Macaca fascicularis: one gene and its partner. The protein of the gene in region 1 purifies or fractionates together with the protein of each later gene. This does not show direct contact. Links are inferred from orthologs where the notes say so. Each region holds a gene or a part of one and is shown in the gene's direction. Other genes may lie near its edges.

The links.
Region 2: the proteins of SUPT3H (region 1) and ATXN7L3 purify together in Homo sapiens (affinity purification with mass spectrometry; 6 studies listed by BioGRID and IntAct, counting the BioPlex papers as one, with this or other methods). This does not show direct contact. The link is inferred for Macaca fascicularis from reciprocal best matches to the Homo sapiens genes SUPT3H and ATXN7L3.

The regions. Positions count from the first base shown.
Region 1 is NC_088378.1:126,168,891-126,184,621, forward strand, and holds the start of SUPT3H (transcription initiation protein SPT3 homolog), read left to right. Parts: upstream 1-6,028; 5' UTR 6,029-6,265; intron 6,266-6,370; exon of another isoform or gene 6,371-6,723; intron 6,724-6,953; exon of another isoform or gene 6,954-7,077; intron 7,078-7,865; exon of another isoform or gene 7,866-7,933; intron 7,934-11,965; exon of another isoform or gene 11,966-12,133; intron 12,134-12,247; exon of another isoform or gene 12,248-12,341; intron 12,342-13,969; exon of another isoform or gene 13,970-15,193; intron 15,194-15,731.
Region 2 is NC_088390.1:65,250,338-65,265,971, reverse strand, and holds the start of ATXN7L3 (ataxin-7-like protein 3), read left to right. Parts: upstream 1-8,568; 5' UTR 8,569-8,799; intron 8,800-8,919; exon of another isoform or gene 8,920-9,742; intron 9,743-10,164; 5' UTR 10,165-10,224; coding exon 10,225-10,275; intron 10,276-10,543; coding exon 10,544-10,697; intron 10,698-10,897; coding exon 10,898-11,069; intron 11,070-11,245; coding exon 11,246-11,343; intron 11,344-12,024; coding exon 12,025-12,047; intron 12,048-12,332; coding exon 12,333-12,399; intron 12,400-12,547; coding exon 12,548-12,633; intron 12,634-12,946; coding exon 12,947-13,015; intron 13,016-13,292; coding exon 13,293-13,336; intron 13,337-13,581; coding exon 13,582-13,653; intron 13,654-13,746; coding exon 13,747-13,904; intron 13,905-14,007; coding exon 14,008-14,156; 3' UTR 14,157-15,634. Other genes in the region: UBTF (nucleolar transcription factor 1), read left to right, coding at 438-485, 581-652, 754-897, 986-1,111. UniProt on the Homo sapiens protein: Component of the transcription regulatory histone acetylation (HAT) complex SAGA, a multiprotein complex that activates transcription by remodeling chromatin and mediating histone acetylation and deubiquitination.

The DNA.
Region 1 (15,731 bases):
TTACACTATACCTGACTGAGTTAAAGAAATGGTTTTAAATATATTCTGGTAAGAGGGAAATACAGCTTATGCTGCCTCGGTAAAAAGCTAAAAATAAAAACAAAGTAACTTGGTGAAACCTGTTGGTACAGTTCCCTGATTACTATTTAACAAATGATCTGAGCATTACTTAGTCAAAATAGGTTTGTTGCATCCAACTTCAGAATGTGAAGTAGGAATACCAGGTTGCGTTAGCCACACTGTCATTTATTTCATATGGCACCAAATAACTTTTGGTCCTGTTTCCATGAGTAATAGAAAAAGAAGGCAGTTATTTGAATAATTCACTGAAATAGATTCAGTTTCAGTGAAAATACTTTGGAGAACTGGATGTTTCTGTATACTCGTCTTAACTTTATTCCCTACTTTCGAGGACTGATAGACCAAAAAATTTTTTTTATTTTTATTTTTTAAAACAAGTGGATGTTTAGCTTTTCTCAAACTTTCTTAAAGGTATTCCTTGACATACATTGGATAGGTCTAAATGGAACTTTATTACATGAGCAAGATTAGAAATTAATTTAATTATTATAAAATGTTACAAATTCAAACTTCATTTCCTTAAGAACTTTCTCACTTTGTTGTCTAGGCTGGAGTGCGGTGGCACTATCTCGGCTCACTGCAACCTCTGCCTCCTGGGTTCAAGCGATTCTCCTGCCTCAGCCTCCTAGTAGCTGGAAGCTGGGATTACAGGCTCAGCCACCCCACCTGGCTGATTTTTTATGTGTTTTTTTGTAGAGACGAGGTTTCATCATGTTGGCCAGGCTGGTCTCGAACTGGCCTCAAATGATCCACCTGCCTTGGCCTCCCAAAGTGCTGGAATTATAGGCGTAAGCCACTGTGCCCAGTCCAGAACTTATTTATTTTTGATGGCAAAACATTAAAGATAATACAAACATCATGTTTAATTATGTACTTATTCCCCAAACTGCATTCCTGATCTCTTGCACCTACCCAGTATACTCCAACCCCAATCTTCCCCATCTCAGTGAATGTAGGCAAATCCATTTTTCCAGTTGCTCAGAACAAAGTTGTTCATCCTTGATACCTCTCTTTCTCTAGAATCCTAAATCCAACGTGTTAACAAATCATATTGGTTTTCAAAATATACCCAGAACCCAACCATGTCTTAAGGCCTCTACTGTAACAACCCTAGTACAAGCTACCATCATCTTTTGCCTGGGTTACTGCAACAGGACCTGTCACTCTACAGACTATTTTCAACCTGGGAGCCAAGGTAACCAATATAAAGCCTAAATCTTACGAAGTCAATCTTCTGCCAATAGCCTCTCAGTGTCAGACACACACGGCCTTTCACCATCTGGCCTAGTGCTTCTCTGACCTCATATCACATGATTTTCTTTCTGGGTTACTCTTCTTTAGCTACAGTGGCCTCCTGGCTGTTGCTTCAAATTACCAGACCTGTCCCCACCCTAGGGTTTGCAAATTGTTCTCATAGTCTGGAATGCTCTTTCTTCAGATATGTGCAGGTATCTCCTTCACTTTCAAGTCATTCTTCAAATACTACTTTCTCAGTGAGTCCTGCTTCAACTGCCCAATTTAAAAATTACATCTTCCCCTTTCCTCCTGTGCTTGGTCTCATTCCACGTTCCTTCCCATATAAACTTTTCTGATAACACTCATGACCTTCTAACATACTATATAATTTAGGTATTTATTTTAGGTATTTATTTTTATTGTCTAACTCCTACTAGCATGTGAGTTTGATGATGGCATAGGTTTTTTCTGTTTTGTTCACTGCTATATCTGCAGCTTCGAGAATACTGTCAGGTACATAGTAGGCCCACAACAATCTGTTGAAATGTAAAAGTTGTCTGATTCCAGTACAAGAGTATTACATATTGGATTCCATGAGAATGGGAACAACTAAGTTTTCATGTGCCTGAAGAGCTCAAAGGGTCTTTGGAATGCTGGTATTCCATGGTTCCCTTACCATTCTGACTCTCAAAAACATAATCATTTTTTCAACAGCCAAGCACTAATTTTAAAAGACCCTGGACTGTGAAATCTACAATGACAGGTCCCTAAGAGGATGATCATGATTACAGTTCTACAAGCTACCTGGTACTGTATAATTTTTTTTTAACATTTCTTTTCAAATCATTGTACTGCTTTTCCTTATGAATGGAATTGGAAGGTAGGGGAAGCCAATTTGATTACACATCAATAATTTTGTGACACCCCCACCCCCTGCAGTGCATCAGCATATCTGATACATCTTTTCATGTTGGTTTCTCTTTTGAAATGTGTAACATCAAGCAGGGCATGGCAGCTCAATCCTGTAATCCCAGCACTTTGGAAGGCTGAGGCAGGAGGATCTCTTGAGCCTAGGAGTTTGAGACCAGCCTGGGCAACATAGGGAGATCCCCATCTATACACAAAATTTAAAAATTAGCTGAGTGTAGTGGCACATGCCTGTAGTCCCAGCTACTGAGGAGGCTGAGGTGGAAGGATTGTTTGAGCCCAGAAGGTTGAGGCTACAGTGAGGTATGATTGCATGACTGCACTCCAGTCTGGGCAACAGAGAGGGAAACCCCATTTCAAAAGAAAAAAAAAAAAAAAAGCAAGCCCTGAATACTTTTGTAATTTTTGTAGCACAAATGCTGAAATTATTCTGCACAACTTTAGGATCCATCCTTTGGCTATTCCCATTTTGAAGGAACATAGAATTTCAGGACTGTAAGGTTTTAGTTTATTTGGTTCTATCATCTCATTCTACAGATAAAAAACTGGAGTTCAGTGATGTTAAGTGACTTGCTCAGGTACTACCGGGCTGAGTAATCTTTTTGGTCAGAATGACTTGTTCTAAACATAAAACAAGATACTTTTGAGAATGCAATTGGAAAACAGTTCTGAACATCAAAAAACGAATCTAGCAACAATTGCAATATACAGTTCTAAATAATATGCAGTCTACCCCAGTTTATTTTCATGGTGACAACTTAAGCATTAAAAATAGAAGGCAAATATAGCAAAGGATGAAATAATTGATAGAAAATAAAAAGGCCCCACAAGTATCCTAACAAGTAAGAGTTATGAATCTCAAAACGACAAAGAATTTCCAGGTCACCTGAACTGTTACTGTGGCATCCACATGAGAAGAAACCACTTCTGGCCAGGCGCAGTGGCTCATGCCTGTAATCCCAGCACTTTGGAAGGCCGAGGCAGGCAGATCACAAGGTCAGGAGTTTGAGACCAGCCTGACCAACATGGTGAAACCCCGTCTCCACTAAAAATACAAAAATTAACTGGGCATGGTGGCGCACATCTGTAATCCCAGCTGCTCAGGAGGCTGAGGCAGGAGAATCGTTTGAATCCGGGAGGTGGAGGTTGTAGTGAGCCGAGATAGGGCCACTGCACTCCAGCTTGGGTGACAGAGTGAGACTCTGTCTCAAAAAATAATAATAAAAAGAAATCACTTCCATGGAATCAGAGAGATGGTTCCATATTAGCCATGACTTCTGCTGTTCTTTTGAGAATGTGGGCTTACTATCTAATCATTTTAAGATGCCCATGAGCACTTTTACTTAGATATATGCACTTTCTCTTTGCACTAGTGAGTCTATGTGAATGTTACATGCCAGAGGAATGTAAAAGTCTACACTTACAATGCTTCATTTTTCTTTAAGAATTTTGTCCAGGTCATGGAGACATTTTTGTGGAGTGATAAATTAACTTCTTCTCCTGATGCGTTTTCCCCAGATGCCTTGGAAATCACTTGTTTTTCTGAGAGGTGTTAGTCATCAAAACCTTAACTTTAGCAACAGCTTTGCTGTTCTAGTTTTGTTATAATCAAGATACCCTAGTACCATTGATAGTTTAGGATACTTGATATGAATGTAATGGAAAAATATTTTTGGCCCTTTGTATATAGCAATGGTCTCAAACTATGAGAAAAATTATGGCTAAATCAGATTTTCAAAAATTGATTTTAAGACATTCCAGGAGCTAGGAACCTGGTTAACTCATGTGACTTTAAAACTCAGATCTCTGCCAACAGCACAATTCAGTTTCCTAAGAACAAAATTTTTAAACTTACTGTATCAATGCCTTAACTCAGTTTCCCTTCTCCATGTCTCACTCTCATTAACTTTTGTTGTCTGTGATTTTTTTTTTTTTTAGACAGAGTCTAGTTCTGTTGCCAGGCTGGAGTGCAGTGGCACGATCTCGGCTCACTGCAACCTCTGGCTCTCAGGTTCAAGCGATTCTTCTGCCTCAGCCTCCCGAGTAGCTGGGACTACAGGCGCGTGCCACCACGCCCGGATAATTTTTTGTATTTTTAGTAGAGACAGGGTTTCACCATGTTGGCCAGGATAGTTTCCATCTCCTGACCTTGTGATCCGCCCGCCTCGGCCTTCCAAAGTGCCAGGATTACAGGCGTGAGCCACCGCACCCGGCCTGTGTGTGATTTTATGCAGGCTGGACACCAGTATCCTAGAGTAAGATGATCTGGATTCTATCCTGATAAACTGGGTCAAACAGGTACTCATCTGATGCAGGTGAAACTCCAGTGCAGGAACTTCCATGACAACTTTAAACATAATTTTAATTGAAATGATCTACTTTTACGTTTCTTTAGATATGAACACCAATTTTTCTCTTAATCTTCTGTTAACTAATTTCTTGGTAATGTACTCAAAATAGCTTTTCAACCAGTCTTCCAAAGTAAGAAGTTATTACGATGCTATTACTTTCCCTTATACTGCACACTTTGCTCAGCAATGAATTGATCCCTGATTTACACATTGTGCTGAACTCTCACATCCTAAATATATTTATTCTTTTGGAATTTTAGGTATTTGGAAAATATTGAAGCGTTGGGGAGATTAAAGAGAATAAACACAACATTAGCAGACTCAACTACAATCCACAGAGGAAATAACTAAATAAGTTGCTATTTTAAACAATTTAAGCAAATAGGAGGAAGGGATTATTTCAGAACTCACAGTATGTATAGGCAAGAAAATAACTGAAGCAGTGATGCTTAAAAAGACTTGGTGAGGGTTAATACTTGAATCCCTATAAAATACAGTATTTTATAGTATTTGACGTCACAGGTGTGCAGGTGAGCATGGATAACCAGTTTTCTTCTCTAAGCAACCAATAAGAATGTTAAAACAGAAATAAGACTTCATATAATACAGTGAAAGACTGAAAGCATTGTCTTACGACTACTGTATTATTTAAAGAACTACATCTGTATCAATCAAATGTGGCAGGACAGGATGTACAGTTCAATACTGGGGGTGCAAGATTTTAAAATGAGGAACAGGCCAAAATCTAAACACAGAATCGTCCAAAAAAAAAAAAAAGGCCTTCAAGTAGAACAAGTTTTCAATAACAAAACATGGTAGTTGAACGCCTGCGTCTAGTTACGAGTTGGGGAAAAACATTAATTGCAGATTAATGAAACAGATTCTGTGCGAGGTCAGGGTAGGGAGTGATGGCGCGCGGGAGCGGAGGAAGAGCCGGTTTCGCCGTCCCAGAAAGCGTTCCACGTCCACACGCCCGCACTGCGGCCCTGCGGCGAGGGTTCAGACCTCTCCGTTTCCCTTCACCATTCTAAACGCGCAATCCCGCTAAAATCCCGTTCACTCCAATTCCTGGAAAGAAGCTTACAACGGTGAATCTCTTCCCTGGAGTTGAAAATCAACTTCCAGTGCCGGTCACCGAATCCGTCAAAAATCCTATCCCTCTCGGGCCCAATTCCTAAAGAATTCAAGCCTGCACCCTGTAGACCCTGAGCGATCTCAGATCATCCCCACACCGCTCCCAGCCTCCCCAGCTCTAAACGCCGCCGCGTGGCTCAGCGCTGCCCTCTCCGGCCTCTGAGGGCCGCGCACATCGCCCCGCCCCCGGCTAGCGTGGCGGAAGTAGCTCGCCCGGGCTGAGAGACCGCGCGCCACCTGGCAGAGCGCGCATGCGCCCGCACAGCCAGTGCTGGGGGCGTCCGTATCGCTAACTCCTCAGTCTCCGCAACCCCCGCCTCACCGAGAGTCGGGCTCACGCCATCTTGCACCCCCTTCCCCCCCGTCACACAGCCGAGTCACCTTTTCCCTTTCTTACACTCCACACTCTCGGCCCCCCCACCCCGCCCCTTTCCAAGCGTGTCCCGGGCCGCAGCAGCAGAAATCGCACCATCTCCACCCCCCACATTCTCCTCGCAGGAAGCGCAGCCGTGCCTACAAGGGTTCTTAAAGCAGAGGTTGTGGGGCGTGCGGGGGGCGGTGCGGGGGTGCGGGCGGGGGAGACGTCCGAGAGCCGGGAGGGACGCAGCGCGGAGATCCCAGCGTCTCTGGGCCCCCGCGCCGGCCACGCCCTGGTCCCGGCTCTAGGGCGGCCGCCTGGGTCTTCGGCGTCTACGCGGGAGTGTTGAAGGGAGGGCGGCTGTGGGAGGCGCTGACCGGGCGCAGCGCCCTGGTTCTGCTGCCGATTGTGGAGTTGCCTCTCGACTCCTCCCTGTTGGCGGGTGGGCGTGGGGTGAGGGGGATTGGGCTGTGCTAAGGAGCGGGGTGCGCGGGTCGTCTAGGTAGTGTTGGGGGTTGCCGGGGGAATCATTAAAGAGGGAAATTGTTGCTTTATGGCACGGCGAGAGAAGAGTTAGGTAGTTAGTGGGAGTGTAGCATCCAGAAAGAGGAGAAGATCCGCTGTGTTCTCTCTGGGGTGAGCTCACGTCTGTGGCCCCTGGGGAAATTATGTAGCTTGTCTTTGCCTTGTTTTGGTCTGTAAAATGGCGATCTTATAGCCTAGTTCAGAGTTGTCAGGGTTATATGAGAAAATACACGTTAAACGCCTGGAACAACGCCAGGTGCTGCTCAGTACATTTTAGCTCTGCTTTTGCTCTCCATGTTTTAGGAGTTCAGAATGACTGTGACCTTATCTTCTCAGAGAATGAGGACATTTGGTCTCACAAGTGAGAGTGAAGTTATGAAGACAGTGATATGTAATATTTGACACTCAGACGATCCTGGACATGTTATTACTGTACACGTGGATAAATTGGCATTTCTCCACGAGGTTAATAGAAATGTTAAATTATTTCGGTAGAAAGAAATGTGTGTGTGTATATATGTGTATATATGTATGTATAGTGTGTATATTTATATATGTATTTGGAAGGAGAGGACCTGGGGTCTTAATATATGTAAAGGGCAGACTTTGGAAGAGGAATTAAATTCGCCCTGCAAAGATTTACTTGAAGGACAGAACTTGGGGAATTTCTGGTGAATGTTTCATAGAGGCTGAATTTGACTATGAGGAACAGTTCGTGAGAGTACTTTTCTAGAATGGAATGCACTTCATTGTGCTATTGAAAGTTTCTTATCTTAGGATATTCGGGACATTGGAGCGAAGTGTGCCTAAGTCTAGGCTGCACTTTTCAGTAGCAGTTTCTGCCTTGGTGGAGATGTTCCATAATCTGTGCCTTTAGGCACTAGTGGTAGCCTAGGCACAGTGGCTCTTCAGCACTTGAAATATGATAAGTGTCACTGAGGAAGTTAATTTTTAATTTGTTTCGTAAATTAATTAATACATTGATTTACGTTTAAATACCAACGTGTGGCTAGTGATGGCTACTGCATTGGGCAGCACAGGTCTACAGTTTAGATGTTGAGAGTCCTTCCGAGTCTTGATATGGTTGAGTTTCAAATCAGAGAAGCCAGCTCTTTGGAACATTTATTGGCTTACGGAATTGTAATTCTATTCAAATAATGCCTTTCATTCAAATACTGCAGTTCAGACCTTGGGTCTGTTAGTACTTATTTACATCTTGACAAATTAAAGCAAAACGTTCTTTTGTCTCCTAGGTTGTACGGGTAATGCCAGATCCAAAGAGCTATGACAGTATTAACTGGAGTTTTCTTTAAACATTATGGTACTATTTTGTGATTTTTGGTTTTTATCTTTTACTACTTTGGTTGGTTTTCAGTGAGAAGTTTCCAGCTCTTTTATTCAAGTTTTTTTTCTTTTTTAACCTTTCGTGTAATAAAGCTATTTGAAAAATTATAACTGTTGAGCATTAGGACATTTTAGAACTAGTTTTGTGGTTATCCAAGTCTTTTGGAGAGATAAGTGAAATTAGGTAATAGATGTTTCACAAAATTGCTTTCCTTGAAATATGTGCATCTTTTTTTTAAGTAAGTCTATATAAAGTCAAATATGAAAATAAAACTAAAAGAACAAACAACTTTCATAGGTAGCGGTAGCACCCTTAACCCTGGCCTGATGTCTGTAAAATGATGCCCTTGGGTCAGGCACGTTGGCTCATGCTTGTAATCACAGCACTTTGGGAGGCTGAGGCCACAGGATCTCTTGAACCCAGGAGTTCAAGGCTGCAGTGAATCATGGTCAGGCCAGGCCTTCCAGCCTGAGCTATAGAGGGAGACCCTGTCTCTTAAAAAAAAAAAAAAAAAAAAAAAAAAAAAAAAAAGATGCTCTTGGTCTTAAGGCTGAAGATAATGGTTAGATCTGGAACAATAACTTAAAGCCCATGAATTAAATCAGATGGAGAGAATAGCTCATAATATGCAAATCAGAATGGGGTACTTTTATGGGTGACCATAATATCTTAATTTTTCTGAGACAGTCATGGTATAAAGCCTGATTGTTCCAGCACAATTATTTAATTTAATAGAACCCCTTTCACTATCAAAAATGTTCGAATTGGGACCACATAATAATGTCACCCTACTGTTAGCCTTCTTGGAACTTGTAATATATAGTTTTAGGACAATTAACCACATTGCAATATCAGAAATACTTTATTATTATTTTTGAGACGGAGTTTCGCTCTTGTTGCCCAGGTTAGGGTGCAATGGTGTGATCTCAGCTCACTGCAACCTCCACCTCCTGGGTTCAAGCGATTCTCCCTCCTCAGCCTCCTGAGTAGCTGGGATTACAGGCACATGCCACCATGCCCAGCTAATTTTGTATTTTTTGTAGAGATAGAGTTTCACTGTGTTGGCCAGGCTGGTCTTGAACTCTTGACTTCAAGTGATCCACATGCCTCATCCTCCCAAAGTACTGGGATTACAGGTGTGAACCACTGCGCGCGGCCAGAAATATACTTTAAAACAGTGACAAAATTACTGTTGTTGTGTCTAAATAATAAATGAGATACCTGGAATAAGGCCAGCAAGTGACTTTCCCATGTAAGCCACTGATAATTTAAAATTTTGCTTTGGATAGAAATCTTTAGCAGCTTGAGTTTTGGTGCCCTCTGGAAGAAAATTATCTTTTGGTGGGGGTGACTGCAAAGCATTAGTCTATGTCAGTCAAATCAGGAGATTGAGTATTTGTGTTGAAATAACACTGATTTTATTTTATGGTAAGGTTGAATAGTGAAATCCATCAGAAATCTGATTATGTATTAGAATGTTAAAGACGGGTTTTACTTACAGTTACTTAAATAATGAAAAATAACTCAGCTACATGCATTATTAAGTTTATACTGAAGTGGGTAAAATATTTTATTGAGGCTCTAACACTTGATTTGAGTTCTCACTCAGCTACTTCCTAACCATGTGATTTGGGACAAATTATTTAATTTTCCTAAGAATACTCGGTTCCTCATTTATAAAATGAAGATGGCGATGGCTTCTGCTTCTAGGTTCATAAGAGGTTAATTTAAATAACTCATGTGATGTGTTGGGTGCAGTTCAGTAACTATTAGCTGCTGTAGCCTTAAGTTTATTGGATAATCTAGAAGTGATAATAACGTTCTGAGATGTTCTGTGGGTTGGTGAACAGAGCACTAAGACGCAATTCTGTAAACCTAGCTTTTGCCCTTTTCTGCCACATTTTGTCATTTCAGTTAAGGTATTTAACTTGTTAATATCGGTGCCTCAATTTCCTTATCAGTAAAATAGAATTAGTACCCAACCTCATCCCACCTTCTCATAAGACTGTTGGTGGCATCAAATGAGAATTACGTTTAAAAATTGTTGTCCTTACAAACATTTTTATGTTGAATTGGTTTTGTCTCGTCTACCTACAGCCTCCACTAAAGAGTGACCTGCAGAAGTTGTTCCGCAAATTTTGTGTAACAGCATAGATAGTGTATAATAGGCACTATTACTGAAGACAGTTCTCTTTTACAAATAATATTGTAAGTCACAGGCCGGGTGTGGTGGTTCACGCCTGTAATCCCAGCACTTTGGGAGGCTGAGGTGGGCGGATCACTTGAGGTCAGGAGTTGGAGACCAGCCTGGCCAACATGGTGAAACCCCATCTCTACTAAAAATACAAAAAATTAGCTGGGTATGGTGGTGCATGCCTGTAGTCCCAGGTGCTCAGGAGGCTGAGGCAGGAGAATCTCTTGAACCCGGAAGGCGGAGGTTACTATGAGCCGAGAACGTGCACTGCACTCTAGCCTGGGTGACAGAGTGAGACTCTGTCTCAAAAACCAAACACAAAAAAAACAAATAATATTTTAAGTCACAGTAATGGTGCTTTTTTGATCTGGTCACAATATATTTTCTACAGAAAACAACCCTATACTGCTAAGGAAGAACGAACATTTTCTTGGGCACTTACTTGATGTGTTCTTTCCATTGTATCTCATTTATCCAAACATATTCCCACCGAATAGGTTGTACTAATGAGGCTCTTACTTTCTAGAATGGGTCTGTCAGGCTTTTTTGTACTGTAGTTCTCCCTTTGAAAATATCTGGCCCTTAGTTAATGGGTAGTGAAGGTTAAATAAGATCATGAACATGAAAATAGTGGCTGGCTCTGTGACTCATGCCTATAATACCAGCACTTTGGGAGGCTAAGACATGTCCAGATTGCCTGAGCCTAAGAGTGAGGGCAATATAATGAGACCTAGTCTCTACAAAAAATTTAAAACAAAAATTAGCTGGGCCGGGTACAGTGACTCACACCTGTAATCCCAGCACTTTGGGAGGCCTAGGCGGGTGATCACCTGAGATCAGGAGTTTGAGACCAGCCTGGCCAACATGGTGAAACCCTGTCTCTACTAAAAATACAAAAATTAGCTGCATGTCTTGGCATGTACCTGCTGCTTAGTAGGCTGAGGCACCAGAATTGCTTGAACCCTGGAGGCGGAGGTTGCAGTGAGCCAAGATTGTGCCGTTACACTCCAGCCTGGGTAACAGAGCAGAACTCCATCTCAAAAAAAAAAAAAAAAATGTAACCGAGCTTGGTGGTTGGTGCCTGTAGTACCAGCTGCTTGGGAGGCTGAGGTGGGAAGATTGCTTGAGCCCAGGAGGTGGAGACTGCAGTGAGCTGAGATTGTGCCACTGTACTCCATCCTGAGCAACAGAAAGAGACCCTGTTTCAAAATAAAAAGAAAATAGTACACTGTTTGGTGTATAGTAGGTAGGAGTTACTGAAAAGATGCTGTTGAATTCACAGGACAAGTAAATTGAAATAATTTATGTGACTATATTAACTAAAATAACATACAAATATAAATCATTTAAAAAATCTTGAAATGTACTTTTGCGATTTAAATGCTATAGTGGTTTTATGACTGAATTCTATATATTTCACGGTATTCATGTTAGTCTTTATTAGTCATAACATTCTTTGAGGATATACATGTTTAACAATAATCTTTTGTGATATATTTTCAAGAAGCTTTGCTTTTGCTTGAGTTCATCATCATTGTTGGCATGAACTAAATGCCTGATATGTACAAGGCACTTTCCTAAGGGCTGTACATATGTTATTTTATGTAACCTAGGAGAGAAGTAATTAATCTCCATTTTAGAGATGAGGAAACTGAGGCAGTGAGGTGGCATAACTTGCCCAAGGTCATGTGTAAGTGTTAGAGCCTATAATTTAACTCCAGAGCCTAGCTCTTTACTGCTCCCATTGTGGTTTGGCATAGGCAGATATTAATATTTCACAACACAGTTCAGTGTGACATACACATTGTGGAGGCTTTGTGGGTTAGTTATGATAAACTTTTATTTGTATATTCCTTGTTGTATAGTAGAAAGAACTCTGGACCAGGTGTCGGGGGACCTCAGATTTAGTCCCAGCTTGTATCACTAAATAGTAGTGTGTCCTTGGGCAGTTCAAGAAACCCCTCTGGACTTCAGTTCCTCACCTGAAAAATGAGGGATTTGGAGGAAATTAGTGATTTTCAAACTGTAGTTCTGAAGTCTGCTCAGATGTCTTTGGTTCCCTCCCACCAATTTGCATATATATTTGTCTGTTACAGTTGCTTATCCATCTACCTAAGATTTTCTTTTAAACGAAGAATTTCTTAACTGAGTGTTTAAAGTCATCAGTCTCCAAGAAAACTTAATGACTATGTAAGTCCCCTGACTGCTGTGTTTACAACTTTTCAGTAATTTCACAATATTTTAGTGTTTTAGGAGATAGAGATCTTTTACTAATGAAAAAACTAAGGCACTAAAATGAGAGGATTTTTATTAAAACATAGTATATCTAAATGGCCTGAATATTTCAGGTTATCAGCTATCTGGGATCAAAGCCTGTTGTTTACTGAATTTGTGATCTTCAGCCAGTCTTAGTTGGTAGAGGCAGAATACTTGTCTTGTAGGGTAATTGTGGGGAAAAAAAAAAAAAGTGAGCTAACACAGGTGAAACACCCTTTATAAACTCCAAATTCATCTGTTTTTTACATGCCTACAGTAAATCCCCCATTCCTTTTTCTTTTTGGTCACGCAAACTGTGTTTTTAAACACATCAGATATTTTGTAAATTGTTTAATGCAGAATTCTCATAAGCTTTAATATTTCTAAAATGTGACTCTCGACTGGAAGAGAGTGTTGATTTTTAAGGGAGCTGCTTTTTTTTTTTTTTTTTTTTTTTTTTTTTTTTTGAGACAGAGTCTCGCTCTGCCGCCCAGGCTAGAGTGCAGTGGCGTGATCCTGGCTCACTGCAAGCTCCGCCTCCCGGGTTCACGCCATTCTCCTGCCTCAGCCTCCCGAGTAGCTGGGACTACAGGCGCCCGCCACCTCGCCCGGCTAGTTTTTTTTTTTTTTTTTTTTTTTTGTATTTTTTAGTAGAGACAGGGTTTCACCGTGTCAACCAGGATGGTCTCGATCTCCTGACCTCGTGATCCGCCCGTCTCGGCCTCCCAAAGTGCTGGGATTACAGGCTTGAGCCACCGCGCCCGGCCGGGAGCTGCTTATTTTTTGACATCTTTGTCAAATACACTTACCTCTTACTGTTAGGAGTGTAATTGGTGCCAAAATCTTCCACATATCTCAAAAGTTAACCATTAAGCAACTCTATTATAAAGTTTGAGTAAAAACAACAGTGTTTTAGTGTTGGAAAAGTAAGTGTGCTATGTGCCATTTGTCAGGGCTTAAGGATAATCTGATAGGCACATTTGCAGTGTACTTTAGGGACTGTTTTTGCAAAGAATTTTTTTTTAAACTCAATTTTTCTGTGAGAGTACTGGATATGAAAGCATATGAAATAGAAACTGAATATGAGACTAAAGAAGGAAGATATACTAGAAACTCCTGTGTCTTGTAGCAGTCTATCACTGGGCTCCGGTGTCTGTTAGTTCCAAAAGATGCTCATGTAGGATATGTAATGCTGCAGTTTTAGCTGTTTATCATCTAGAGAGAAAGGATGGGGGTAGTTTTCACGTTTACAGGGTGTTTTGATATTTTCAGTTCAGATTTTTTTTAGTGCCCATTATATGCAATCCTGTGAGACAAATTATTCCTGACAGAGAAATTGAACTTATGAGATGAGTTGATCCTTATATCCTTATACAAAGTTCTATTATATTAATTATCCTTCTTAACAAAAATCTTGTGACCATGGGTTTTATTTCAGTTTTCTGCTTTACAACATCTCTCACAAAGCTTCTGCAGGTTTTTAAAATCTCCACTTGAATGTCTAATAACTGTCTCAAACTTAACATAGCCCCAACTGAACTGTTTTATTTTTTCCTTCGCAGTCTTCTGGATCTCAGTAAATGGCACCACCATTCAACCAGTTTCTGAGGCCCCAGAATTCAGTCATCCTTGACTGCGCTTCTCTCACACCCCACGTGTAATCCATCAGCAAATCAGTTCTGCTTTCAAAATATGTTCCAGAAATCTGACCATTTCTCATCATCTCCACTTGTTAAACTAATTCAAGCCACTGTCATCTCTTGTCTGCACACAACCTCAGTAACTTCCTAACTGGTCTTGATTGCACTCTTGCTTCCGTATAGTATATTCTCCCCGCTGCTGGAGTTATCTTTTTAAAACCTAAAACATTTCAAGTAACTTCCCTTTTCAAAATTCTCTAATAGCTTCACATTACACTTAAGTGAAATGTAAACTCCTGTGGCCTAAAGGCTTTATAAGATCTGCCCTCTTGCTACCCCTGCGTTCATGTCTTTCTAGCCACACTGGCCACAGGATTTTGGTACTTTGCTGTTCTTTTTGTTGGGAAGTTCTCCAGAGCTCCCTTCCAGATCTTATATTAAATGCCACCTCCTAGTTGAAATCAACTTGTTTTTCTTATTTCATAGTATTTGTTATTTCCTCAAATTATATTTGTTTATGTGCTTGTCTCTTGCATTATAATGTATTTTTTTTTTGTCTGACTTAGTCACTACTATATCCCTACCTTTTAGAACAGTGTTTGGCCTGTAGTAGGTGCCCTTCTTAGGTATGAAGAATCCAAAGCACTGGTGGTGTTAGCTTTAAATAAGAGGGTGTCTTTATTATAAGAGGAGGGAATTAAGGGAGGAGGATACACTGTCTTTGGTGGAGGAGAGTGGAGGGAATGACTAAATGATAGCTTTTTGTTTCTCTGGAAGTAGAAGATGATGTCAGCTGTCCATAGCTGGGGTAGGGATTCACTGTGGGACAGAGGCTTATTCAACTAAAATAATTAGTATGCAGTAAAGTAGTTAATTTAATATTAAACTAATATAAACTAAAATAATTAGATGTCAGAGAAATAATTTCTTTTGTTTACATATCTGGGAAGGTTTCTTGGAGATGGGCTTAGGCAATAGATTTTGGATAGGTTGACAGATACTGTATTATTTCAAAAGGTATTGCAAGTAGAGAGAGCTATAGGGGTAAAGGTTCAAAAGAACATGGGATGGTTCTGGAGATGGGGAAAGTTTGATTTGACTGCTGTAGAAAAGGAGGCTGGCAAGGTCAGGTGGGACTGATTTGAGGTAAGTTTATAAACCAGGCTTTTTAATACCTTCCAAAGTCCACTTAAAATGGGGCATATATTACTATACTGAGATTACCATTGTATTATTCTAAACACTAGGTCTAGACATTTTTATAGATATTTTATGTATTTAATTTTTAATTTTTTGCATTCTCAGTGATTGACCATTTGGTATTATTTTTCACAACAGAAGAAATTTAGATCATGATGTAACCTGATTTTTTTTAAACAACAAAACTAAAACGCAGTGTATAATAGTGTTGGCTTAACCGTAATTGCTTCCTGCCTTTGGAATTTTATGAAAATAAAAATATTCTAATTATAAAAGTTTTCTATTAATTTATATTATGTGGGATGTTCAGGTTATCATTAGAATTGAGACTGTAGATGCTTAAAATCAGTACATAGGTCTGCTGAAATAGTTTTCTTCAGCAGTATAGAAGATAAGATTAAAACTTCTCTCTTTTAATTAATGGGTTGACTGATAGTTTTCACAGTCCAGATTTTGATGATGTTTGGAGGGTGCAGAAACTAGT
Region 2 (15,634 bases), on another chromosome or scaffold:
TGGGAGGCCGAGGCGGGCGGATCACAAGGTCAGGAGATCGAGACCACGGTGAAACCCTGTCTCTACTAAAAATACAAAAAATTAGCCGGGCGCGGTTGTGGGCGCCTGTAGTCCCAGCTACTCGGGAGGCTGAGGCAGGAGAATGGCGTGAACCCGGGAGGCGGAGCTTGCAGTGAGCCGAGATCGCGCCACTGCACTCCAGCCTGGGCTGGGCGACAGAGCGAGACTCCGTCTCAAAAAAAAAAAAAAAAAAAAATTGGAGCTGTGTTCTCAGATCACAGGGGCTCTCTGCAGAGACCTAAAATCTAGGGAGCCTGGGAGGGATAAGATGGGGTGATGATATATAAATGCTCAGCCCACTGCCTAGCACTGGGCCAGCATGCTCAGTCAGCAGTAGTTGGCTATATTCCAACCCTTGCCACCTCTGTCTCCCCCAGAGCCTGTCTCCCCAGGACCGTGCAGCATATAAAGAATACATCTCCAACGTGAGTCTGGGAGCAGAGCAGCAGTGGGGTAGGGGTGGGGGGATTCAGGGGTGTCTGGAACTCACGGCTGCCACCTTCGTGTCCCCATCCTGCAGAAACGTAAGAGCATGACCAAGCTGCGAGGCCCAAACCCCAAATCCAGCCGGACTACTCTGCAGTCCAAGTCGGTAAGGAGCCCCTCCCAGATGCAGGGGCATGGGGCGGGTGGGACTGCCTGGAATGGCTGGGCAGAGACCAGAGACCACTGATGTGCCTCTGTCCCTCCAAGGAGTCCGAGGAGGATGATGAAGAGGATGAGGATGATGAGGATGAGGATGAAGAAGAGGAAGATGATGAGAATGGGGACTCCTCTGAAGATGGCGGCGACTCCTCCGAGTCCAGCAGCGAAGACGAGAGCGAGGATGGGGATGAGGTGGGGCAGACAGGGCACAGTGGGAGGGGAGGGGATTCCTGCCAGGATGGTCACCTGATGACTCTCCACATCCTTTCTCACCCCCCAGAATGAAGAGGATGATGAGGACGAAGATGATGACGAGGATGACGATGAGGATGAAGACAACGAGTCCGAGGGCAGCAGCTCCAGCTCCTCCTCCTCAGGGGACTCCTCAGACTCTGACTCCAACTGAGGCTCAGCCCCACCCCAGGGCAGCCAGGGAGAGCCCAGGAGCTCCCCTCCCCAACTGACCACCTTTGTTTCTCCCCCATGTTCTGTCCCCTGCCCCCCTGGCATCCCCCACTTTCTTTCTTTCTTTTTAAAAAAAAAAAAATACGGTGGGGGTAGGGGGCTGGAGGAGCCCAGGCCAGGACTCTGCAGCCTCAGAGACATCAGCCCTTGGGGGTCCTCCTCCAGGGACAGCAACCATCAGACTAAGCCAGCACCGGACCAGCCTGGCCCACCCCTCCGACTTCTCTGCACTTGCAGTTCCGGCATGGACAGTGTACCGGAGAGTGGGGGTGGGGGGGGTCCCAAAGAGTTCGATGAGGCCCTCCACACCTGCGGCCCAATCCAAGGTGGGGTGGAAGCTTGGGGAAGACGCATTCCTTCCCAGAGGGGCCTGCCACCTGGACCCCTGCATTGGAACTGGAGGCAGGGAATGTGGGGAGAGGAGGGCTGGTGCCTTCGAGAAAACAGGCGCTGCCCTGGTGGCCCTCTCCCCTGCCCCCTGCAGGAAGGAGCTGCCTGGACCCATTCATGGGGGAGGGGGCAGAAGTGTTTTTTATATATGTGTATATATTTTTTTTTAAGCTCTGAGCTGTCAACGAGACGTTTCCTACCGATCTCGGCTGCCGTCTCTGTTGTCATTTCTGGGAGAGGGAGGGTTTAGGGGTAGGTTTGGAACCTTTTAAAAATGGTCTTGATGTGTGTGGAAGAGAGTATGTGTATGTGTGTTCCTGTACATAGCATGGGTGCAGCTGTGGATGTGTGCAAAAGAGAGTGTGTGTGTGTGTGTAAGGGGGTCTGTCCTAGAGCCCACATCAGTTTGTTGTGAATCTGGAAAAAGGGTCGGTGAGAGCCGGGAGATGTTGACCCTGGTGGGAGCAGACTGAGGCTATCCCATTCTCCACATCCTCTATTTTGCCCAGTCTCTGATTCCACTGGGGGAGTGTGCCGAAGCCACTCTAGGATGCTTCCCAGACCAGGCTCCCTCTGCCAGGGTCACATGCATCTGAGCTGCTGGTCTCCATTGTCCAGCAGGAAGGCTTCCGGAAAGACAGGCAAGATGGTGTGAAGCTTAAAGCTTGTATTTGGTGGAAAAGGCCTCCCCTGCTCATCTGAGGGGCCAAGCCTGGCCACCCTAGGCTCAGAACCTGGGCTTCAAGAAATGTGCTGGGAGCTCCTATCTTACACATCCCTTCAGCTTTCCTTAAATCCTCCCACCACCCCCTATTTCCTTTAATTTCTCAGGTCTGCTCCCTCCTCCCCCAACCCCACAGCTGGGCAAGAAGTCTGCAAAAGCTGCTTCTCAGCTGTCTCTAATTCTTCCCAGCCATTTCCCAAATTTTTTGGTACCTTATTCCTCTTAATAAGCCAAGTCACCTTATATCTGTAGTTCTTACTTTTTTGTTGACTAAATTTGGAGGGTTCTTTTTTTTTATGATCATGTCAATGACCTATTAAATTGGGGCTTGGTGCTTTTCCACCTTCCCCCTGTGAATGAAAGCCAAGGAATGGGGGAAGAGCGGGAACTTCGCTGCAGAAGTGGGGCAGGAATGGGGAAAGGCCCTGGCCCCAGAGAGGCTGGTGGGTCCCTCTCCCAAAGGCAGGCAGACAGTCTCTGCTTCGCCTTGGACCTTGGTGCTGGGGGTGGGGAGGTCTGGGGGGTTACTCTCCACTCCCATTCCCCTTCCTTTGTCCTAATCCTGGAATTAAGTAAAGGGGTTTATAGGTTCTATTTCTTCCCAAGAGCCCTGCAAAGAACCCCAGTCTCCTATTTGGCTGCCCTACACTGTTGTGTTTCAGTGGAATGTATTTTCATTTAAAAACAACTTGCAATGGGGCCCTTTTTTTTTTTCCTGTTTTAAAAATTGAAAAATTCTTACAGTACAAACAGGACTGTCAGGGTGGGGGTGTTGGTGCTGTAAGAGGTCACTCTTGAGTGCATTTTGGCACTGGGATGGGATGGCTGGGGTGGGAAGACCCCCGTCCCCGCCCCCAACTTTTTTTCTAATATTTAAAGAGTGTTTTGTAGGATTCAACAACAACCACAACTTGAATTTGTATCATGGGAGGTGGGAGGGAGTGGCTTAGAGGTGTCTGCCTATGCTTAAAGCCAACTGTGGAAGTTTTGTTTTCCCTTTTTTGTATAATAAAGTGAAAAACAAAGGTTTGACTGCTGTCTGGTCACTGGAATCAATGAAGGTGATGTAGTTCACAGGGGTGACCCAACAGGTTTGATCTATAAAAATGCTTGAAGCCAATTTGCCTTTTTTCCCTAGAACTATCTTCCTCTTCCCTGAAGATTCCATAGGTAACCTATATTCACATTGTTCTGTGCTACTGTTCTTGCCCTTTTCTCAATTCCATTTGTTCACTTTGGGTTGTCAGACCACTAAAGACTGAGAAGTTGGAGAACAAATGCATTTTCATTCAGAGTACATGGTCTTGGGGAATTGGAGGTGATGAGCTATTAGGGTCAAGGGTTTGCCCTGGACATGCAACCCTTCCTAGTGTAGGGCTTGCTTATCGTGGGGAGTTGAGGGAGCACTCTCCCACTCTGAGCCTTCAGCTCCACCCGGGGTTAAAGGTTAAGGGTTAAGGATGACTTTCCTAAGACCATCTAGACCTCTGATGGGAAGCAGGCTGGGCTGGGCTGAGATGACTTGCTCTCTGAGATTAAGGAAGACACCCTTCCCCGTGCAGGCCTTGGCTGGGTTCCTGGAAACTCAAAGGGCTGCAGACCCAGGTCCCGTCCAAGAACTCTCTCCCAGCCCTCACCCCTATCCTATACTGGCCAAACTTCTAAAAAGCTTGTTGCGCCTCTTGGCCTCCAACTTACCAATATCCCTTGAGGCTCCTTGCTAAGGTAACCAACATGTTCATTACATCTGGTGAACACTTGTCTGTCTTTTGCCTTCTTGATCTACTCTGCTGGTGTCAGCTCTTCCTCATTTTATCCCAGGTGTTCACATCTCTCCCTTCAACCTCCCATGATCGCCAATATGCAACCATTCTGAAGGGTGGTGCCGACAGAGACTGCTCTTCCAAGCTGCAGACCTGTGTAGACACCCTTGCATCCTCTGGGATATCTTGCAGGCATCTCATACCTCAAGACCCGAAATGATTACCAAACGCTTAGTCGTTCAACCTAGGAAGCAGAGTATTGGCCTTGACTTCTCTCTCCCTTTCACCTCCAGGTTCAATCACCTAGACCTCTCCATTCCACTTCCTAAAGCTGTCTCAAATCTGTCGACCCCTCCCACAGGGTGACTCCCACAGCTGCCACGCCCATCCTATTTAAGGCCACCATCATTGCTCAACTTCTGCAAAGACCTCCTAAAGCTGATCTTCCTGCTTGCACTCTCGCCCCCTACAGCCCATTCTTCACATGGCAGCCAAAGTTATCTCAGAAATAAATCTGATTATTTCTGTACTGAAAATTTACCATGTCTTACCATGGCCTTACAAGGTTTGGCCCCTGCATTCCTTCTCTTATCTTCACTCACCCTGCTCTTCCTAACCACTCACAGTGATCCAGCCAAGTGATCTCTTTTGTTCCTCAAACACGCCTACCCGCGGGGTCTTGGCACCTGTTCTTTCGGCCCAGAATGGCTATTCCTCCAACCCTACACATACCTGATGTTTTTTTCATCTTTTAGGCCTCAACTCACATGTCCTCTCTCAGCGAAGCCTTTCCCAACCACCTGCTCTAGAGAGGCGTCCTCCATCTTCTTGTTTATGTATTTGTTTATTATCTATCTCACCAAGTAGAAGACACCTTATCTGCTTGTTCATTACAGTAATCTCAGCACCTGAAACTGCCTGATATACATTCGACACCCAAGAAAGACTTGTTGAGTGGGTGAATAAGTCTGGCCCACAAGGCCCTAGGGGATCTGCTGCCCCTGTTAGCCCTGCCCTGGCTCTAGCCACACTGGCCATTCATGTCTCGAACATAACATGCTCTGTCCCAGGGTCTATACACATGGTGTTCTCTCTGCCTAGTTAATTCAGGGCTCCACTTAAAAGACCACTTCCTTCCCTGAGCTCCTGAGAAAAAGGGTCTCCACACTATATGTTTCTTCAGCAGCCTGAATGCCTTCACACTCAGGCCTTATTTCCTTCCCATCAGGCCTTGCTAGGCTGTAAGCCACGCTAGGACAAGGTTTGTGTGTCTCTCTTGCTTGCTGCTGTAACCCCAGGGTCTCACCCAGAGTCAGGACCAGCTCAGGCCTTAGTGTTTATGAACTGGTGCTAACAGTGAAGACTGGTACATGCCCAAAGAGGTCACCACCACAGAGCAGCCCAGGCCAAGCACAGAATGAACAGTACAGTCTAGTTGTACAGAAGTTTGGTATGAGGATGGCCACAGGTGGGGATATGAGGAAAGATTTAGGTCAACAGGGAGAAGCCAGGAGGATTTTCTGGCCATGGCGCAAATTCCTTAGGGCAGAATGTACTGGGCATATTTAGGTAAGAAACAGATCAGCATCACTGGCGGGAAGAATTCCTGAAAAGGAGGTGGGAGATAAGAGAAAAACAAGGCTGAGGCTATGTTGCTGAAGTTCTTGAAAACCTAGCTTACTTCTCTGTGCCAGATCTAAGTTCAATCACCTTTCGGGTCTCCATCAGCTGATCCCACAGAAACCTCAATATACCCCAGAGTGAAGTCATCCTCCCATGTCCTCCCCTGAGTTCCCCATCCTAGTTAAAGGTGTTTTCGAGACCTCCCTCTCCTTTCCTCCATACACCCCAATCAGTAACAAAAACCTGCTTTTGGCCAAGCCCAGTGGCTCATGCCGGTAATCCCAGCATTTGGGAGGCTGAGGCAGGTGGCTTTCCTAAGGTCAGAAGTTCGAGACCAGCCTGGCCAACATGGTGAAACCCTGTCTCTACTAAAAATATAAAACAAAAATTAGCTGAGCAAGGTGGCATGTGCCCGTAATCCCAGCTATTAGGGAGGCTGAGGCATGAGAATCGCTTGAACCTGGGAGGCAGAAGTTGCAGTGTGCTGAGATCACACCAATGCACTCCAGCCTGAGTGACAGAGCAAAACGCTAAAAAAAAAAACAAAACAAAAAAACCTACTGCTTCTAAGTTATTCTCCAGACCACACTCCAGCATGATCTACTAAATATATAAGTCTGGTGAATGATTCCCCTTGAGGATTCCTCATGGCTTACAGGCGAAACTTTCAACACCTACTTGCTTTGTCCTGTATGATCCAGCCTGCTCACCTCCAGCTATTCTGCCACCCAATCCTCTGTTTCAGCTTGATCCAGGCTTCTGAAGCTTCCGGTTGGGGATATCCAATGCTTTCTTGGCCTACCTTTACCTGGTTCATCTCCCACTACAAGAAGTTTTTCTTTTTCTTCTTTTTTGTTTTGTTTTGAGACAGCATCTCGCTCTGTCGCCCAGGCTGGAGTGCAGTGGTGCAATCTCAGCTCACTGCAACCTCCGCCTCCCAGGTTCAAGCGATTCTCCTGCCTCAGCCTCCTGAGTAGCTGGGATTACAGGAGCATGCCACCACACTCAGCTAATTTTTGCATTTTTGCAGGCTGGTCTTGAGCTCCTGGCCTCCCAAAGTGCTGGAATTACAGGCCTGGGCCACCCCGCCCAACCCAAGAAGCCTTTCTTGACCAACTCTCTTACATTATTTGATGTCTCCTTCTGGCTACCTCTGTTCTCTCTCTGCTGTTTTCGTCACACTCTTTTGCAATTATTATCCTACCTGTCTATCCCACAAGACAGTGAACTTCTTGAAGAAGCACAACTGTCTTATATCATCTTTTGTCCCAGCACCTGGAGCACCGTAAGAATAACAGCTAAGATTTACCAAGCACTTACACAGAGCTAAGAGTTTCACATGCACTGACTTGTTAATCACTACAGCAACGCAATGAGATAGGACTATCATTATGCCCACTGACAACAGAGGAAACTGAGGCAGAGGAAACTCATTTGCTAGATCCAACGATTTAAATTCAAATCAGACGCCTGATCTTAACTACTCTGGAATATCGCCTCAATAAATGTTTGCTGTTTCTCAGGAGAAATCGGTGAGAATAAAATATTTGCGGAAAACTAAAAACCAAAGATGGCTCCAAGTATGTGATTTCAGACTATCCTCCTTTTTAATCTTATCTCTTGAGGGGAGAGGGCTGTCACACAACCGTTCCAGGACACCAGACACAGAGTAACCGAGATGAAAGCGCCAATCCAGCCATCCACCGCGGCTGGGAAAAGGCCCGCTCCTTCCTAAAGAGGGACTGAGAGCGTGAGCATAGGGACACTCTGCACCCAGGAGAAAAGCACTGGGTCGGGGGAAGGATCTGGCCAGTGCCAGGCAGGCTGTCTTGAGGGGTGGGGGGTCCAGCGTGGGTTCCGGAAGCAGGAAAGGCAAGCAGGTGTGGGATCTAAATTAGGATGAGGGGTGGGGAGGGCGCTCCGCGCAGAAGGGCGCAGCTTGGCCTCCGACCTCAGCAGCGGACCCTCATCTCGGCCGCTTGTTGGTCCGCAGGCCTGGCGTGGGCTGAGACCCGCCCAGAAACCAGGAGAACTGAGGCGCGGGCGAGCCCCTTCGATTCTACGGGCTTTCCGCTCCGAGGTCCTAACTGCGCCCCACTTCAAGTCTGGCCTCTTCACAGAAGTGGCTGCACGCCTCGGGGTAAAGGGGGGAGCGGAGGGGGGGGGGGAAGAGAGCGGGGAGCCCCGAGGGAAGGGCGGGGAAGCCTGGGCCGGAAGGCGTCCCAGGATCGGCTGGGAGCCGGCGCTCTCTTTCGACGCCACCCGCTGCCCCCGCCCCCGAGCCGGCCGGGACGGCACAATGTCTCCGCCCCCAGCGCACCGCGCACCTCACCTTGAACGCCGCCCCACCCACCCCCATCTTATTGGGCCTCCCGGGCCGAGGCCTCTCGGCGATTGGTCGGGGAGGTCCGCGAAGGCCCCGCCCATCTCCCCGCCCCCGTCCCCGTCCGCCGGTACTTTGGACGGCGGCGTGGCGCCCCTCCTCCCCTCCCGGTCCCCGCCCCCTGGAGCAAATGCTGCCGAGCTGCGGCCGCGGGGCAGATGCACGCGCTCGGGCCCTTCTAGCAGGCGCGAGCAGTCGCTGGGCGCGCGAAAGCGAAAGAAGGAAGAGGAAGGGAGGGGGAGGGCGGGGTGTTGGGGAGGGGCGGGAGGAGGAAGAGGAGGAGGTTGGAGCGCGCTCGCGCTTGGCCTCGCGCCCGCGCGGAGGGAGGGGGAGAGGGGCGCGCGCGCGCACGTTCGCGTTCTCGCTCGCTCCATCCATCCATCCTCCGGTCGCGGCACACGCGCGCGCGCTCCGGGCTCGCGCCGCACCCCCCGCCCGGGAGAGGCGGGCTGGAGTGGGGGGCGGGGGGAGGGGCGCGCGGACGGCGCGCGGACTGCGCGCGGGCGGGGTGAGGTGAGGAGGAGGAGGCGGCGACGGGACAAGAAGGGAGGGGAAGGGGCCATGGCCGCCCGGTGAGGCGGCGAGGCGGGGGGGCGGCCCGACCCCCCGGCCCCGGGCCCTGGGCCCCGGGGAGAGGCGAGGACGGACCGACGGACATGGGGCTCCGGAGCAGCCGCCGCCGCCGCCGCCGCCGGAGGACGCGGCCCTGAGAGGCCGCCGGGCCCCGGCGCGGCCCCCCGGGCGGGGTGAGTACGGGACGGAGACGGGGACGGGGGAGGGGCCTGCGGGGGGCGGGGGGCGGGGCCCGAGGCGGGGCTTGGGCCCCCTCCCCCCAGGTCTGGGTCAGCGCCCCTTCCCCTCCCCCCGGGCCGACGCGGAAACGCCCGGCTTCCCCCAGCTTCCCGGCCGGGCCGGGGCCCCCAGCTCTCCCCCGTCTGGGTCCCCCTTGGGCGGGGCAGGGCCGGCCGGGGAGGGGGCGCGGGGCCTTTGTTAGGGAGCCAGGCCCCAGCCCCCGGGACAATAGAGACACCCTCCCGGACTCCTCTCCCCGGCCGGCCGGGGCTGCTGGCGGGCGGGGAAGGAGAGGGGCCGGGACGCGTCCCACTCTGTCCACTCTCTGGGGGTCGGTCTGTCCCGGCCCGGTGCCGGCCCCGGCGGCTCGGCTCTCCTCCCCCCAGTCGGTATGATGCAGCAGCAGTGCCGCAGGGACGGGGGAAGAGCCGAGGCCCGGCCTCCTACCCTTCCCAGTGCCCCCGGCTCATTCGTCAGTCCCCACCCCACTCTAGGCCGGCGGCTCCTGAAACTCGTACCCACCGTTCCGAGGGGCCCTGGGCTGTGGGTGCTGTGTCTGAATCCTTGGGTGGGGGTTCCTGGACTTTGGGGCTCTTGGAGAGACTTCCGGGCTGGTCCTGAGGGAGGGTGGGTGGTTATTTAAAGGAAGAACAGGTAAGGGGAGTGCCCGCTCCTGGCGTGCCACCCCACCGGGCACCCCCCCCCGCCCCGCCGCTCCTGCTCATGGTGGCTAGAAATGTCCCTTAGCTCTAGGCTCCTGTGAGCTCTGCTTCCCTCGTGGAGTGGCAGGCTGATTTCAAGGGAAGGCAGAGTGGGGTGAAGGTTGTAGGGTCCTAGGGCCATTTCTACTTCTGGTAGCAGTACCCCCCCAAGTGGACATCCTGGCTGAAAGCAGAGGTGACTCTGAGGAGAGTCTTTAGGGAAGGCGGGGGGGTGTATTTAGGAGTCTGTGCAGTTCTTTGCCACACCCTGTGGGTTTGCTTTGAGGCCTTGGAGTTCCTTCTCCTCCCCCTGCTGCATTGCACCATGGGTATCAAAGAGGGGTTTGAGTTTTGGGGACCTAGGGTGAGCTGCTGCCTCCTATAGACCCAGACTCTGATTGGCAGTGGAGTCCAGGGCCTGAGCTCAGGCCTGGGAAAGACTAGGCCCCCTTTAGGTTTCAGGCCCTGAAGGACCATCCAGACTTAGTGAGCCTGGGCCTTGGGGAGGGAGAGACCCTGATGCCAGGACTGAGCTCTGGGCAGCGAGGTGGGAGGGAAGGTGGCCGCCTTCAGAGGTGCCTTGGACTCACAACAACACCCCCACCCCCGTGTGTGCAGCCGTGTTGCCGCCCGCTGTGCTATGAGCAGTCAGAGCGCCGTCTCCACAAGAGTTTACAAATGAAAATGGAGGAAATGTCTTTGTCTGGCCTGGATAACAGCAAACTAGAGGTGAGGGCTCCCCCACGTGTGCCTCCAGTTCTTTCTCTTGATGTCTCTACGTCGCTATATCTGGCATCCACACCAAAGAGGAATTTGGGTAGTCAGCCTTGTTCCTTAAAGGGAATAGCCAGCTGAAAAGGCCAAGGATCCAGGAAGAAGAAAGAACACGAAGTCAAGATGGGGAAAATGGCAAAGAAAGCGTGATTTTTGGCTGGGGCCAGATGGCAGCAGATTTGGTTGGTGAGAGTCCAGGGGGCTGTGACTCTTGTGACCGTAGATGTTCTCCCCTGGGGCCCAGGCCATCGCTCAGGAGATATATGCGGACCTGGTCGAGGATTCTTGTTTGGGATTCTGCTTTGAGGTACACCGGGCTGTCAAGTGTGGCTACTTCTTCCTGGACGACACGGACCCTGATAGCATGAAGGATTTTGGTGAGCTTCAGGGTGAAGGAGCAGCAGTCCAGCCCTTCCCTGGGACTGTTTGGAGTTTCCTTCTCTGGAAACTGTGCTAGATGTAGCATCTGGAGCTCCTGTGAGCCGGGGGAGGGATTGAAGAGGCCGTGGGACCCCAGGTGGGAACAAGAGGAGAGGGTCCCCTGCCCACCCTGATCGCCAGCCTCTCCTGTCCCCAGAGATCGTGGACCAGCCGGGGTTGGACATCTTTGGACAGGTTTTCAACCAGTGGAAGAGCAAAGAGTGTGTTTGCCCCAATTGCAGTCGCAGCATTGCCGCCTCCCGCTTTGCTCCCCATCTGGAGAAGTGCCTGGGAATGGGTCGGAACAGCAGCCGAATCGCCAACCGCCGGTGAGAGAACCAGAGCTGCCCATTCTCTGCAGCCTGTGCCATGGTGTAGTACCCCGGGGGCATTAGGAGGGTACCGAGAGTGGGTTTTACTTGGCCCCAGATACCCCACGTGCCTCTGAAGTTGGGGGCAGAGTGGGGTGACCCCCTTGACCCTTTCTCTTCCCTCCCTTTGGCAGGATTGCCAATAGCAACAATATGAATAAGTCTGAGAGTGACCAAGAGGATAATGATGACATCAATGACAACGACTGGTCTTATGGCTCGGAAAAGAAAGGTGCTTGGGGATCTGGGGAAACTTGGGGAGCATTGGGATGAGGTGGGAAGCAGAAATTGGGTATAAAGTGGTCACAGGTTGTTGTCTTTTTTTTTTTTTTTTTTTTTGAGACGGAGTCTTGCTCTGTCGCCCAGGCTGGAGTGCAGTGGCGCAATCTCGGCTCACTGCAAGCTCCGCCTCCCGGGTTCACGCCATTCTCCTGCCTCAGCCTCCCGAGTAGCTGGGACTACAGGCGCCCGCCACTGCGCCCGGCTAAGGTTGTTGTCTTGAATGATGAAGAGAGAGTATAGTTGTGCGGTTTCCTTTTTCTTTTTTTTTTTTGAGACGGAATCTTGCTCTGTTGCCCAGGATGGGGTGCATTGGCGCAATCTTGGCTCACTGCAACCTCCGTCTCCCGGGTTCAAGTGATTCCCCTGTCTCAGCCTCCTGAGTAGCCAGGATTACAGGTGTGCGCTACCACGGCGAGCTAATTTTTTTGTTTTTAGTAGAGATGGGGTTACACCATATTGGCCAGGATGGTCTTAATCTCCTGACTTCATGATCCGCCCGCCCGGGCCTCCCAAAGTGCTGGGATTATAGGCATGAGCCACTGCGCCCAGCCTATTGTACAGTTTTCTTGAGATGCTTTTAGATTGAGAACTTAACGGAAACCCTGCTCTTTATGCTTTTGTTCCCCCTTAGCCAAGAAGAGGAAATCAGACAAGGTGAGAGCCGGGGCAAGCATTGGGGAATTAATGGGCAAAGGACAGATACCCTCCCCTTTGGGCAGGGAGTCCTCAAGTGTCTTGACTCAAGGCTGAGGTCACTGGGGGCTTGAGGGTGTCTGTGGTGGGCGGGTGGGGTGTGGGAATGGAGGGCAGGGGAGGGCACATGGGTAGACAGGCCTCCTACTGGGGAGGAAGAGTAGGAATTTGAGGATGCTGCTTTGTCAAATCTTTTTTCCTTCCCTGGGTTCTCGGCTCCCCCTTATCGTTACCCTTTCCCCAAAGCTATGGTATCTCCCATTCCAGAACCCCAATTCCCCTCGAAGATCCAAGTCTTTAAAACACAAAAATGGTAAGTGGGGCCGGAGCAATGGGATTGCTTCTAGCTACGTCTTCTGGGACTCATTGCTGGGGGGTGGAGGTGGGGCCCGGGGATAGGGGAATTGAGGGAGGGCCTGTGATCCTTCTGTCACCCCCACTTCCTCTCTGGTTATTTTCAGGGTTCTCTGTCTGTACCTCTGCATCAAACACCCTTCCCCTTCTTTTTTCTTCTTCAGGGGAACTTAGCAATTCGGATCCTTTTAAGGTGAGTATGGGCCGCCCCTCGCACTTGCTCTCATTGTCCTGGTTGTGAGGTGGTAGGGAATTGGACAAGTAGGGATCAGAATGCTGACAGCCAGAGGCACTGATGAGCTATTTGGATCTTATATATTTATGTTCTTTCTGAGTCCCGCCCCTTATCCATAGGCAGGTGGGATGAGAGAAATCACTTGGAAAACGGCAGGGTTGTCCTAAAGCCTCTCGCTTAGAAAGGCACCAGAGGGACTGATTCTCGCTTCCCCCCGGCCCCTGTCTCTTCTCTGCCCCATCTCTAACCTGTACCTCTGGTTCTCCTGCAGTATAACAATTCAACTGGGATCAGCTATGAGACCCTGGGGCCAGAGGAGCTTCGCAGCCTGCTCACCACGGTGAGGGGGACCGGCAAGGGAGAAGGCCCTTGGGAGTGGGCTGGAGCCATAGGCAGTGGTCAAGGCCGGGGAGGAAGCTGGTGACATAGCAGTCAGGGCCATATTGTTCTCTCTTTCTGGAATTAGGTTTCCTGGCCCATAGTGTCCTGGGACTGTCTGCTCTGGACACCTTGGGGCCATCTCTGCTTGTGCTTTCTAGCATTTATGCAGAAGGGAACATCTAGCATCTAGAGTAGGTTCCCTCCATCCCTCCTTTCAGCTTATATTCCTCTTCCAGCAATGTGGGGTGATTTCTGAACACACCAAGAAGATGTGCACAAGGTGAGCACAGAACCTAGAAAGGGGGCCAGGGGCCTCCTGCACACTCACCATGGGCATGGGTCGGACTTGAGCAATGGGGCTTCTGCCCTTCCCCTTCCCTCCTCTAATGATCAGGCCTTCGGCCACAGTCTGGGGACGAATCTGCACTCATCCCTTCCCTGTCTGTGCCTGTGGCTCCTGCCTTGCCGAGAGGAGGGGCTTTACCTGAGTTCCTCAGACCCCTCCCTGCCTTGCCTCACCACCAGGTCCCTACGCTGCCCACAGCACACAGATGAGCAGAGGCGAACCGTGCGGATTTATTTCCTCGGGCCCTCGGCGTAAGTGGCCCTACAGGAGGGATGGGGGGTTATGACCAGTTAGGGCGATGATCGCTATCTCTAAAGCCCTTCTTTGGCTCATCCCCTTTCTAGCGTCCTTCCAGAGGTCGAGAGCTCCCTGGATAATGACAGCTTTGACATGACTGACAGCCAGGCCCTGATCAGCCGGCTTCAGTGGGATGGCTCCTCTGACCTCTCACCCTCTGATTCAGGCTCCTCCAAGACGAGTGAAAATCAGGGATGGGGTCTAGGTACGTGATACAGTTGGGCCCCAGGGGCTGTGCCCGAAGCCGTGGGAGTGCCACGTCTCCTGCCACAACCCTACTCTCATCCTTTGTGTCTCTTTCTCTACAGGTACCAACAGCTCTGAGTCACGGAAAACCAAGAAAAAGAAATCCCATCTGAGCCTGGTAGGGACTGCCTCCGGCCTAGGTTCCAACAAGAAGAAGAAGCCAAAGCCACCGGCACCCCCGACGCCCAGCATCTATGATGACATCAACTGACTTGGGTGCAAGGGATAGCCTTTGGCTGAGCAGAGCCCTCTCTCCTGACCCCCACCCAGGTGGCATAGCCTGGCAAATGGACGGCTGCTGGGGGTTGGGGCTTGGGAAGCTTGGTGGGCCAGGCAGGCAGAGGATCCGATTATGCGCCCCTGGGGGGTGTCAAAGTCCTCTGCAATGGAGCACGACTCCTCAGCGTGCAGGACTCAGACCTGGACATATTATGCCTTGGACATAAGTTTGGTGGGGAGGCAGTTTTCCTATTTATTCTGTGAGTTACTGGATGTCCAGCTAGGCCAGGGGCCTGACCTGGGCGCTGTGCCAGGGCACTGCCTGCCCCCCACCCCAGGAACTGGACTAAGCCCTGCTGAGGGGCAATGTGGTGACCCGGGAGGCTGTGGGTTGGAAGCTGAGCCTGGAGGGGGCCTGCCTTGGCCGCCCTCAGCAATGTGAATGGGTCCGGTGCTTGGAGCTGAGGGGCAAGGCTGGGCATGTCCTGTCTGTGTGCAGAATCCTATCAAATGCCCCCAGTCCCAGGGGTAGGCAGGCACAGAGTGCTGTCTGCTGAGGTGGGCGTCCAGAACTGCCGCCACCTTCCCTGCCCCTCACAGGGGCAGCCCTTTCCCCTCAGTCCCCATGGGCCTCCTTGGCAGCAGGAGCTGTCCTTTTGTTGTTGGGTGCCAGGAAAGGGCCTCCAGCCTCTACAGCTTCAAGGAATGGGAAAGGGAGGGTAGGAAGAGGGAGAAGTGTCAGAATTCCTCCCCCTGTCTCTCCTCCCTGACCCAGGGCTGGTGAGGAGTGGGGCCCCAAGGTGAGAGGGAACGGTGCTGCTTTATTTGAAATGTTTTCTTACCTCATTCCCTGCCCCAGGAAGGGACCCAGCCTCACCCTCCTGGGGTGGCCCCGTGTTCCTCCTGCCCATCCTGCCCCACTGCCCTACCGGGGCAGCCCAGGTTCCCAACTGCTGCTTCCACCCCCTTCACCTTGACCGGCTTCAGTTTCTCTCGGCGCTCCTGCCTCCAAAGCCTGCCCTGTTTCCCTTCCTTAGCGCTTTTAAGTTATTTATTCTGTACTTGTGGTTTGGGGCTCTGAGGAAAATCCTAATCTCGTGCCTCTCCCCCTTTGCTAGGAGTCGGGTGGGAAGAGAGGGTGGCCTCTGTGCTCCGGGTTGTCAGTGGAGGGGAAGGGGTGTCATTGCCCCTCTCTGGGACTGTCATGCCAGTGTGCCCACCTGCCTGGTCTACATCCTGAAGAGATGTACCGTCCCCCCTCCATGCGGGCACCACCACTCCCAGGAGCCAAGCTGGAGGACCGCGACCTGGGCTGGGAGCAGAGCTGACTGACACGGGTGGAGGTGACCCTGAGCCAAGTTCTCTGGCACTTCCTGGACATGTCCCCTGCCCTCTTCCCAAGAGGAGCCATCCCACATTTGGGTAGCTAGTACCCAGGACTGGTTGGACTGATCGGGTTAGGGACCCTAG